Linked DNA regions of Callithrix jacchus. The protein of the gene in region 1 interacts with the protein of each later gene in a pairwise test. Links are inferred from orthologs where the notes say so. Each region holds a gene or a part of one and is shown in the gene's direction. Other genes may lie near its edges.

What was found.
Region 2: the proteins of KLHL41 (region 1) and RCHY1 interact in binary tests that used the Homo sapiens proteins (3 or more experiments, as listed by UniProt). The two-hybrid records come from large-scale screens. The link is inferred for Callithrix jacchus from reciprocal best matches to the Homo sapiens genes KLHL41 and RCHY1.
Region 3: the proteins of KLHL41 (region 1) and NRAP interact in binary tests that used the Homo sapiens proteins (3 or more experiments, as listed by UniProt). The link is inferred for Callithrix jacchus from reciprocal best matches to the Homo sapiens genes KLHL41 and NRAP.

What each region holds. Positions count from the first base shown.
Region 1 is NC_133507.1:60,004,013-60,006,846, reverse strand, and holds the end of KLHL41 (kelch-like protein 41), read left to right. Parts: intron 1-1,648; coding exon 1,649-1,760; 3' UTR 1,761-2,296; downstream 2,297-2,834. UniProt on the Homo sapiens protein: Involved in skeletal muscle development and differentiation. Regulates proliferation and differentiation of myoblasts and plays a role in myofibril assembly by promoting lateral fusion of adjacent thin fibrils into mature, wide myofibrils.
Region 2 is NC_133504.1:122,640,025-122,644,367, forward strand, and holds the start of RCHY1 (RING finger and CHY zinc finger domain-containing protein 1), read left to right. Parts: upstream 1-1,391; 5' UTR 1,392-1,428; coding exon 1,429-1,518; intron 1,519-4,343. Other genes in the region: THAP6 (THAP domain-containing protein 6), read right to left, coding at 174-253. UniProt on the Homo sapiens protein: E3 ubiquitin-protein ligase that mediates ubiquitination of target proteins, including p53/TP53, TP73, HDAC1 and CDKN1B. Mediates ubiquitination and degradation of p53/TP53; preferentially acts on tetrameric p53/TP53.
Region 3 is NC_133513.1:106,614,631-106,618,798, reverse strand, and holds the start of NRAP (nebulin-related-anchoring protein), read left to right. Parts: upstream 1-1,283; 5' UTR 1,284-1,442; coding exon 1,443-1,514; intron 1,515-1,875; coding exon 1,876-1,970; intron 1,971-2,537; coding exon 2,538-2,625; intron 2,626-4,168. UniProt on the Homo sapiens protein: May be involved in anchoring the terminal actin filaments in the myofibril to the membrane and in transmitting tension from the myofibrils to the extracellular matrix.

The sequences.
Region 1 (2,834 bases):
ATGTGGTCACTTTGTTTAGATCATTTAAAACTATTTATCTCTTAATTTGTTGCCCTGAATTTTATATGATTGAGGTTCTTCCCTTTATTAGTAGCAAAATTTTTTTGTATGCTTTCCTCTACATAAAAAAAAAAAATTATACCATGAGTGCATGGTGTAATTGTTGAGAATTTGGAACACTGATGAAATTAAGTCAGTGAATACTGTACGTAGGTACAAGCTAATTCTAATAATTATTTTAAATCTCCTTCATTCATCATAGAATGATTTGGGTAAATCTTTTTTTTTTTTTTTTAAATGGAGTCTTGCTCTGTCACACAGGCTGGAGTGCAGTGGTGCAATCTTGGCTCACTACAACCTCTGCCTCCTGGTTTCAAGCAATTCTCCTGCCTCAGCCTCTGGAGTAGCTGGGATTACAGGCACATACCACCAAACCCAGCTAATTTTTATATTTTTATTAGAGATGGGGTTTTGCCATATTGGCCAGGCCAAGGTCTTGAACTTCTGACCTTAGGTGATCTGCCCGCCTTGGCTTCCCAAAGTGCTGGGATTACAAGCATGAGCCACCATGCCAGGCTGATTTGGGGTAAGTCTTGTGCCAAGTCTTCACAACTTGTGGAGAGATATTAAGGTGGATAAATATATTATTTGTCCTCAGATGCCTTTGGGACTTGAGGACATTGACATGGGGGGAAAATTAAAATGGAGTGATAATTGCTATAATACCATATAAAGGATGATATGAGAAATGAAGAGAAAGCAACAAACTGTGCTTAAGGAAGGTGAGAAAGGTTTCAGAGAGAAGGCAGCATTTAGAAGCTTCCCACACAGAGAAAACATTCCTGGCCCCAGGCAGAGCAGACATGTTTGGCACACATGGTACAAGGGAATTCAAGTTGTCTATATCTTTATAACCTTCAATATTCAGAGATGAAGACCAGTCCTTACCAAAGTCAAGTGCAAAGTCTAAGAGCTGTCCTCAAACAGAACAATAAAGGGGAAGGAAGGGGAACAAATTTTCATAAAGCGACTGTTGTGTATCAGGTGCCATGCTAGACACTAGCATACAGGAACAACTGAAGGCATAACTAAGGCTACCGATAGTCTACTCTCCCCCAGTTTTTCTCTTAAGCAAGAGTCTGCTTACCTTGACTCAAAGACCAGCCATCTTCCATCAGTTCAAAGGTGAATGTTTAACTGCTTAGCTGTTTATTCCTCTTCTCTGTGCAGTCTTTGATTCCCAGAGAAGGCTGAACTGGGTGGACAGAGTGGTTCATGCCTGTAATCCCAGCACTTTGGGAGGCCAAGGCAGGTGGATCACAAGGTCAAGAGATTGAGACCATCTTGGCCAACATGGTGAAACCCTGTCTCTACTAAAAATATTAAATATTATTTTTAAAAAAAGAGAGAGAAGGCTGAACTGCCTAGGCATCCAGATTAAAAACTGTGGCAGTAGTAGTTCAGGTACATGCTCATTCAGACTGCCTATTTATTTGGGAGATATTCAAGTGCCGTTCTACCAGGTAGGTGCATCTTCCTCTGAATAAGAGCCACTAGAGTTTTTTCAAAGATCCACATTTGTATACCAAACACAGGGAAACCTATAGAACTAAAGCTGCTTATTGATTACTTTTTTTCCCTCCATCAGGTATGAAGATGATAAAAAAGAATGGGCTGGGATGTTGAAGGAAATACGCTATGCTTCAGGAGCTAGTTGCCTAGCAACACGTTTAAATCTCTTCAAACTGTCTAAACTATGAACAAGGTGACAAAACATAAGGGGGAGGTGGTTTGTGTGGTGAATGGGGCTTTAATTTATTGTTTTTTAAAAGCTTGTACAGACACTCATGTAGAAATTATTCAGGAAACTGTCTTAGAGAGGAGCAGTAGGTAACAAAACCTCAGTCACTGACTCTTCAATGTAATGTTCAGAACTTAAAACCATTTTCTAATAAGAAATTAAATATTCAGTTGAACAAATTATTTTGTGAATGTTTCACTCAATGGATTGTAAAGAAGGCTCCTAAATTTGAGTTATTTGTTAATCATTTCATTTGCATTGTTAGGGTATCTTTACACTGATTTTCTATTACAATTGGAAGTGGAGAATATGTGCATCTACATTAAAAAAATGTTTAAGATATCAAAAACCTCTCCTCATGCTTCAAAATGACAGGAATCCTGTGCATTTTGCTAAAAATTACATGCCGTAAGATGACTTCAGAAATGCTACTTCAGACGTGTAATAAATGGATGGGGAAAAAATCTCTTCTAAGTAAAAATAGTCAAATTCAAATGGCCATTTTTCTCTTTTTTTTTTTTTTTTTTTTTTTTTTGCGACACTGGCACGTTATTCGTGGTTTCCAAATCAAATTTTTATTAAAACCAGTAAATTAGTCTTCAAGCCAATAACTACAGCATCTGTGGCAAGAGGGTAAGAGAGCATCCTTAGGAAATGGATTGATTCTTTAATGCTGGGGCAGAAGATGGGGTCAGTGGGAGATGTGGAGGAGGATGTGTATTCACTGATTTAAATTTTGGCTACTCTCTGTGAAGGGGCTATTTGCTAAATTTCTGACTGCAAGGAAGGGTGATCACATTCATTTTCTGGGATGTGATGTCCTCCATTCACTGTTTCTTCTTAGTGCATATAGTAAGGTGACTCCTCAGTCTGCTCATAACTATCACATTCAACTCTGCAAGTCATAAATTAATCATCACTTTCAGCCACACACCAGCTTATGGGTCTCACATAGCTTTCATAGACATATATTTGACTTCTATCCTTACACGTTATTTTCTGAAAAACCTGACTTGGGACTGATTTGGAACAT
Region 2 (4,343 bases), on another chromosome or scaffold:
TTAAACTAAATTATAAACATGTAGAGGTATCACGATGTCACTTCAAATTTAACAAAAAGGGTATTTAAAAAGGATTTGGGAACTAAAGTTCAAAACTGAAGACTTAAGTAGAACTGTCTTTTCCTTTTTATAACATGGCCAAAGTATTTGGCTTAACTACAGCAAAATCTTACACGTGAAATGTCAGTCCTTTTAACTTCGAATTTGGCAAACAGCGAGAAGCACATCCAATGGCGGAGCAGCATTTCACCATTTTAGCAACTCATAACAGAACTGAAAGAAAATTAGAATGTTAAGAGTCAGTAACTTGAAAGCTGAAGGGAACATTTTCCGTTTCCCAGCGTTTTAGGAAACATGAAATCAGGTTAGAAAACCAAAGACAAATAGTTTCTTCTAACACCTGCAGCTTTGCTTAGAACATTTTCCGGCGTCTTCGCTATTTAACAAGGTGAAACATATTTAGCTATGAACCCTGAGGCACCTGATTTCCATTTGTCGGCCTGTACACTTCTCTTCTACCTTCGAATGGGTACCATGTTCTCTGTGCCACAAAGCCTTTTGCACACTAACTCCTACTCATCTTTCAGCCCTCAGCTTGCATCGCTTCCCCAAGGAAACCTTCCGACTGTTGACACCCAGATTAAGTCAGAGCTCCTCTAATATTAGCTCTCACAGGACACACATTTCTTCCTAGCACTTTTCCAAATTGTAACCACATTTATTGCAGTGACTGCTCTTATTAACGTCTTCCTCCTCCAGCAGTCTTGTTAGTTCCATGAGGGCATGGTAGAGTGTGTCTATTTTTTCTCACTTTTTGTCCTCACAGTTTAGCTGGTGACTGGCAATAGTGAATGTTAGTACATACTTGGAATGAACAGCAAGTAAACGGGAAATGGAGGAAGCAAGGGGCACTTCGAGGTGCTAGCGACTGCCCTGGCGTCCAAGAGCGCCGCGCGGGACCCGCAGAGCCCAAGACCTGGGCCGAGCTCCGCCCCTTTCTCCAGGCTTCCCGACACCCGTGAGAGAGGGAGGGGCCGCCCTGTCACAGGTAACGGTGCGCCCCGAGAGCGTCCATTCCTCAGGGGCCAACCAGCGTCTCCGCGCCGCTGCAGCCCACCTCGCGGCGAACCACGCCCTGAGATTTCGGCGGGTAGCGATGGGGGGAAAAGAAGAAGCAACCTAAGAGTTATTACCGTCAGTAGAGAAGACTGCGACTAACGTCAACGACGGAGACTGCGTCTGCCCTCGCTTCCGTCTCGTAGTCCCGGAAACCGGAAATCCGTTTGCCCCGGGTCACGTGCTTAGGAGCCATATTAGCGCTGGTGACGGCTGCGGCTGGGAGGGGGTGTGCTAGAGCGGCGCAGCTTCACTGGGCGTGGTTTTCATCCTGTGGGAAGGCTCGGTGGAATGTGAGGGGAGGTGGAGGAGATGGCGGCGACGGCGCGGGAAGATGGCGCGAGCGGTCAAGAGCGAGTGCAGCGGGGCTGCGAGCACTATGACAGAGGATGTCTCCTGAAGGTGACGCCTTCAATGGGCTCTTCCCCGACGAGCTTCCGCTGGGCTGGGCTGGGGCGGACTGGGCAGGCAGTTAGGCTTGGATTTAAGTTTGAGGTTAAGCTGCTTTTCAGGGTACCTTTTCCACTTGGAATTGGGTTCTTCTTGAGGAGAACGTTTTTGGCAAGGCTGTAAGCCCCACCTTTCCTACCTGCTTCGTACCTTGAAAGCAAAACCCTGTTTCTTGAGAATTGATTAGGCTTGCACAGTGGTCTCTTTGCACAGTGGTTTATTCGCCTTTTGCTGTTGAAGTACACTGAGGCAGCCCCGGCATGTCCTGGGCTTTTCCCTTCAGGTATGTGGTGAAATAATGGAAGTCAAGATAATGGAAATAAGCAAGTGGAGAACTAGAATACGATTTCAGCTCCTGTAGTAAAGTTATATAGCCTGCCAGCTTCATTTTAGAGGCGATGCGTATGTTTAGACTTACGTAGGAGAAAACATACGTCCGAAAAAAAGAAGACAATCATGTAATTGCCATTAAGTAGGAAATTATGTATAGGAAAGTGCCTAGTGAGTATGTATCGTTACTTTGAGAAAACTTCTTAAGCTATATATTTTTTAAATTGTCATGTATTCAATTGAAGTTTCATGATTTTCCTTGCAAGAAGCAGTACAAAAATTTTGCTTAGAATACTTGAGTTTTGGAATCTCAACCGCCCTATATCCAAATCTTTGCTCTTCTCTTTAATAACTGTGATTTTAGCTAGCTCCTCTTTACCCCATACGTAAAGTGGGGATGATAGTCCCTGTTTCATTAAAGTGTATGAGGAGTATGTATACTAGAGGGCATGTATAGTGTTTAACGGTGCATTCCCTGAAGTAAATGAGTAGTAAATGTGTACTACCATGACTATTACCATCATCATCAGTCTGATTATCATTTTTTGTCCCTTCACTCACAAGTCAGCCTTGCTGGTCACTGTCTCATTATTAGAAGCAAGTTCTAGTCTCAGGCCTGTAAGTGGATCCTAAGCTCTTTGTGTAAGTCATGGTTTGATGAACATCGGTCCACTGCATACAAAAAGCTCCTTAAAGTTGGTCATTCACCAAGTGTTTTGTAAGGAAATTGAATGCTATCGTTATGATTGCATTTCTACTGAGATGTGTTATTACTCTTTCAGACTTGAGGTCAAAAACTGATTTTAACATCTTACCCCCCCCCATAAACTACACAATTAGATCTGTGTATCATAGCACTAAGAAAGATACTTAGCCCTGGGTGTCAAACAGTTTTTGCCTTCCATCTCTCTCCCTCTTAAATACCAGAGGCCAAGTGAAGCATTTCAAGGAGGAAGTGGTCAAGTAGGTCAAATGCAGTTGTTTGAGTAAGATAACTGAGAATTGCCCTTTGGATTTGGCAAGGAGGAGATCACTTGATCTTGACAAGAGGAGTTCCAGTGGAGAGGTCAGGATTCGGGTGGATTTAAGAGAATGGGAGGAGTGGAATTGAAAATAGCACTTACAGATAGTTCTTGGGGTTTTGCTATAAAGGGAAGCAAAAAATAAGGTATGGTTGCTGGGCCATGATATTTTTTACTCTTTGAGAGAGAGGAAGTATTGCAGCATGTTTGTATATTCTAGGAAATGATCCAATAGAGTGAGAGCATTTTATAATGCAAGAGAGAGAAGGAAAACTGTAGGGGCATTGTCCTTGAGTAGCCAAAGGGGATGAAATCCAGTGCACAAGTGAGGGAGTTGGCCTTAGAAGCATAGACGTCAGTTCTTCCTAAGGGAAGGCAGAGGATGAGGTATATTTGCAAGTTAATAGAGATGATAGGAGGATGTTCTCTTTTGATTATTATTTTTTTCAGGCCTGTTAGCAGGAAGTATAGTTACTGTTTTTATAGTGAACACTCATCAGCAGAGTGTTAAGGAGGGAGAGAGAGGTGTTAGAGTTTTAAAGCCAGAAAAGATGTGAAATGATCATTTAAATCTTAGATCTTAGACTCTAGAAGAATGAGAGAATGAACCAGCAAGGATGGTGATGTTTTTTCTCTAACCATATTCGGCTGCTTCTGATACAAATCTAATAGGATTTAACCTGGATTGGGATTGTGATCTGTGAGTGTAGGGGAAGAGAGAAGGGAACTAGGGTGTATGCAAGGGAGGACTTGGAGTAAGTTAGAGAGGAGGTAGCGGTTAGTGAATTTGATGCTTGGAATTGAGATGCAGAGAGAATGCAGTTGTTCTGTAGCAGTGACTTTCAGAGTGTGGTGAATGGACCCCTGGGGATCTTGAGGTCCTTTTGGGACCTGCAAGGCCAATACTACTTTCTTTGAATACTAAGGATTTTTTTTTTTTTTTTTTCAGTTCGTTCACACTTGCTCTGATGGTGGAAAAGCACTACTTAATACTGCTAGTACCTTAGCTTGAATCAAGACAGTGGCACTGAATACTACACCTATAGTTTTTTTAAAAAGCCAGTTTCACTTAAAAATGTTGATAAAGCAGTAAAATCATTAATTTTCTTCAAATCTCAACCCTTGAGTGTATGTCTTTTTAATATGCTGTTCAGTGACATGGGAAGTTTTCATCAAACACTTATGCAAACCTAAATTAAAGGGTTATCTTGAGGAAAAACTTTTGTGCAATTGGATTGTAAGGTGAAATAGTTGCCTTTTTTCATGGAACAGCATTTTTTACTTGAAAGAACTACAGTCATTCACATTTGAGTATTTGGCAGACATTTTCTCCAAAAGGAAAAAAGTGAGACTCACTACCAATGAAAATGACAGTATTTGCTGCCAGTGATAAAATTCAAGCTTTCACACAAAAATTAAAATTTT
Region 3 (4,168 bases), on another chromosome or scaffold:
AGAGCATTTAGAGCTAAGGTCACAAATTGGTAACCTGCTGGCCAAATACTGCCCACGCCTCTGTTGTATTGTTTTATATACAAAAAGGGGAACTTCATGTGTCAATGCAGACTTCTGGTGTGCTCAAAATATTTGGAAAATATTCTGGAAAAATCTGAATATTTGGCAATGTGGGATGTTATTTCATGATGACAGCTGGCTGGGATGAAGGAGCAGTGCCTGCTTCAGCTGGGATGAATGCTCACCTGTATGGAAAAGTTCCTGCTATTACCTATGACTTCACACCTGGCCTCGATAGGCATTTTGGTGTGAGTATTAAATTTATTTTATTAATCCAATAAATCCTTATTGGGCAGCTTTTATTACCAAGCCTTGTCCTAGTCATGGGGGATATAGAGGTGGCAAAAAGGATCAAGGATTCTGTTTAGATAGAACTCATATTTTGATGGAAGACACACAATTTTTAAAAATTGAAACATTAACATTTAATATATCCAGTCTTGATTACAGCTATAAAGACCATCAAGCAGGCTAAGAGTAATGGAAGGTAATGAGATAGGAGTGGGGACAGGTGAGGTGCCATTTTGTATCAGGTATCTGTAAGGTGATAAGGTGACATTGCGGCAGAGAATGAAGTCAGTGAGGGTCTTCCCAAAGCCAGGAAGAGAGATTCTGTCTTCATGCCACCCTTCTTAAGGCCTGTAAGGCAAGGGAACAAGCACAAAGGCCTTCTTGGAACATTCCAGAATAAAATATAGAGGCCAAAACACCAAGAGTTCTCATTTATTTTTAGTTTTGCATTCTGGTAGAAGCTAAACACAAACTAACACCTTATTATGTTTTTAGTTTCACTATTGTAAACACTTTGGGCAGGTAAAGTGAAAATTCCAGGGTGATATTTATCCATTTAAAAGAGTGAATCAATCCTATTTTATTTCCTATATTTTTGGGAGCTTGCCTTTCTGCTTTAGTCATAGGACGCATAGGGCAAGCTTTTCTAATCTGATTGTTGGATGACAGTATGGCATCTTCCTTTAGGTTCTTTTCTTGGGTCATGATCACAGCTAGTGCTAAACCACTCCACGCTGCCTGATCACACACCAGGATTTGGTCATCCACATAAACATGATGCTGTTGTGAGTTCACTTTTCTATTTAGAGAAGCATGTCAGCTAGAAATATTTCCACCTTATTTCTCAGACGCATGCGTGCTGAGTGAGTGGCCAAAATAGCCCCTTGAGTAAGTGGCAGCTTTAAAAACCATCCAACTGCTGACTTCAAACTAGAAGGTCAGCAAAGGAAAGTGGAAGTTAGATTCTGAACGATCGAGGTGCCCACAGGAATTTAATAGTCGTCGGATTTCGGAGACTTGAACTAGGCCGGGGGTTCTCCTTGCATTTCGTGCCTGTTGCCTATCGTCGTCGTCTCTCTGCAAGCTTCAACATGAATGTGCAGGCTTGCTCTAGGTGTGGGTATGGGGTTTATCCTGCTGAAAAGATCAGCTGTTTAGATCAGGTCAGTAGACGTTTCTTGGCTTTTGTGAATAATAACAAACATGGGAAATTGACTTTCTCACATATGGACTTAGGTAATATGGAAATGTAATTTTCAGTTAAAATTTTTTAAACCACAAGAAGTTGTATTTTCCCTCCTTTAATTTGTACCACCCATTTCTATTTCTTCTGTGTTGTCTTGAAAAGAAGTCATCCATTTATTTAACTGTGAGTGTTGTTATAGCTGTGTGTGTGTGGTTTTTATTTTTTTAAAAATCACCATTTTATTCTTGAAGCTCATTTCTTTTTAACCCTAAATATATAAGAATTTTGAGTCTGGGGGAAAACAGATAATTGCTAAATCTTCTCTATACAATTTCTAGATATGGCATAAAGCCTGTTTTCACTGTGAAGTTTGCAAGATGATGCTGTCAGTTAATAACTTTGTGAGTCACCAGAAAAAGCCATACTGTCACGCGTAAGTATTTGATGCCACACCACTACCTCTTGAGTTTTATTTGTTTTTCAACAAGTAGCCAACTAAACGTCCAAATCATACACCCCGGGGTTAAATTCAAGAAATGTCTTCTCTTATATCCTGTCACTGAAGAAACCTAAGGTGGGATTTCATGCAATGGACACAAAATTTCAAATTTCTTCCAAGTAAAAGATCAAATATATCCACTATAACCTTATCTCAAATTATTAAATATTGTGCAGAACAATGTAATGGCCATGAATATGCATATAGAGCTTTGAAGTATTTTCTTTTAAATAATTTCAGAATCCTTTTTTACTTTCTTCAGAAAGTTTTCAAGTGATCATTTCCAGTTAAATTTAGGCTTTCAGTTATATGTGTTGATTTTATTTTATTTGCTTTTTTTTTTCTGTAAGATCAATACTTGGAAAATTGTGAACTTAATGTTTAAGTTTTCTATTTATTGATTTTTTAAAAATAACTTATTTAAAAATAATTTTAAGAATAGTCCCTCAATCATTTGAATAAAGTACATTTCTAATTTTGCTTTGTATCTATTTATTGTAGCCATAATCCCAAGAACAACACTTTCACCAGTGTCTATCACACTCCCTTAAATCTAGATGTGAGGACACCTCCAGAGGCCATCAGTGGGGTAAGTTATTTAATTTTCAATGGGAGAGAGGGTATGAAGAGTAGTCGGTTAATGGTAGAAACGTACAATTAAATAGAAAGAATATATTCTAGCCAGGCACGGTGGCTCACACCTAAAATCCCAACATTTGGGGAGGCCAAAGTGGGCAGCTGGTTTGAGCTTAGGGGTTAGAGACCAGCCTGGGCAACATAGTAAGACCCTGTCTTTATTTCTTAAATAAATAAATAAATAAATAAAAGAAGAACTATGTTCTAATGTCCTATAGCAGAGCAGGGTGACCACAATTACCAACAACTTATCGTATATTTCAAAACAGCTAGAATAGAAATGATAAATACTCGAGGTGATAAACACCCTAAATACCCTGTCTTGATCATTTCACATTCTAATATGTGGCAAAATATTACATGTATTCCATAAATATGTGCAAATATTATATATCAATTAAAAATGCTTAGACATATGTTAAGTGTTTGTCTCTGTCTGCATGGGAATCTGCCCATTTCTTCCACATACACATGCAAAGTGCATTTAAGTAACAAATGTGACTGTTCTGTCACAAAATTAGGGGCCAATATACGAATAATCTAGTTTGAATAATTTAGGTCTTTGATTTCAGTATGATTTTTGTGTCTTGACCAGCTCAAGACTGTCTCACAGTATGATGACAGTTTATAGAGTAGCCTTTGCATGCACCAAGTACTTAATACATAAAACCATGCTTACATAGCTGGAACATATTACAAGGATCTTTGCTTTGCCTTGTAATAGTCTGGTACATAAAATTAAAACTTTTAGTTTCACACTTGCAAATCTCTCTGAATTCAGCAAGTACTTATGATTATTGATAGCCTCTTTTCCCCTTGGGGTAGGGATAGGTCAAAGATGTTTTGCTTTGGAAAGGAAGTTTAGTTTAGAAAGGGTGGGATTGAGATGGGGAGGTAAACATGGAGGCCACATTGACAAATCCAACCTCTTGTAAATCTAATAGTAGAGTTTGGTCAAATAACCAGCTATTGATGGAACTCTTGCACCTATTAAAATGATGAATCACTGAGCTTCTATAACCCATGCCCTCAAGAAGTTGCTCTGTGGGATGAAGTTTTAGTGGCTTTCTAAAATTAGAAAATTACACATGAGGTGGAAGGCTCTCTAGTAATCCCTCTTTATCCAAGATTCCCTTCCTAATGTTGCTCCACGTCATACTGACTCTCTTCCTGCCCAGCTGTCCTCCTCCCCAAGAAATTGTGTATGAGATAGTGGCCTTGCTGTGTGGCTCTCTACACATGCTGGTAAAATACCTTATTTTTACCAAGTGCTTTGAACTGACTGTGAGTTTATGATTTCTTTTATTTAACAAGCTTATATAGCATTTACTATAGAAGCACTTAATTCATTTAACATACATTGCAACCCAACGAAGTTGATACTACTATTATTCCATTTTGTGGTGAGGAAACTGAGGCTCAAATTGTTGCTCAGACATCATTGCTTCCTGGGGATTCACAAGTCTTAGGAATTCACAAGCAATCCTAGATGACTG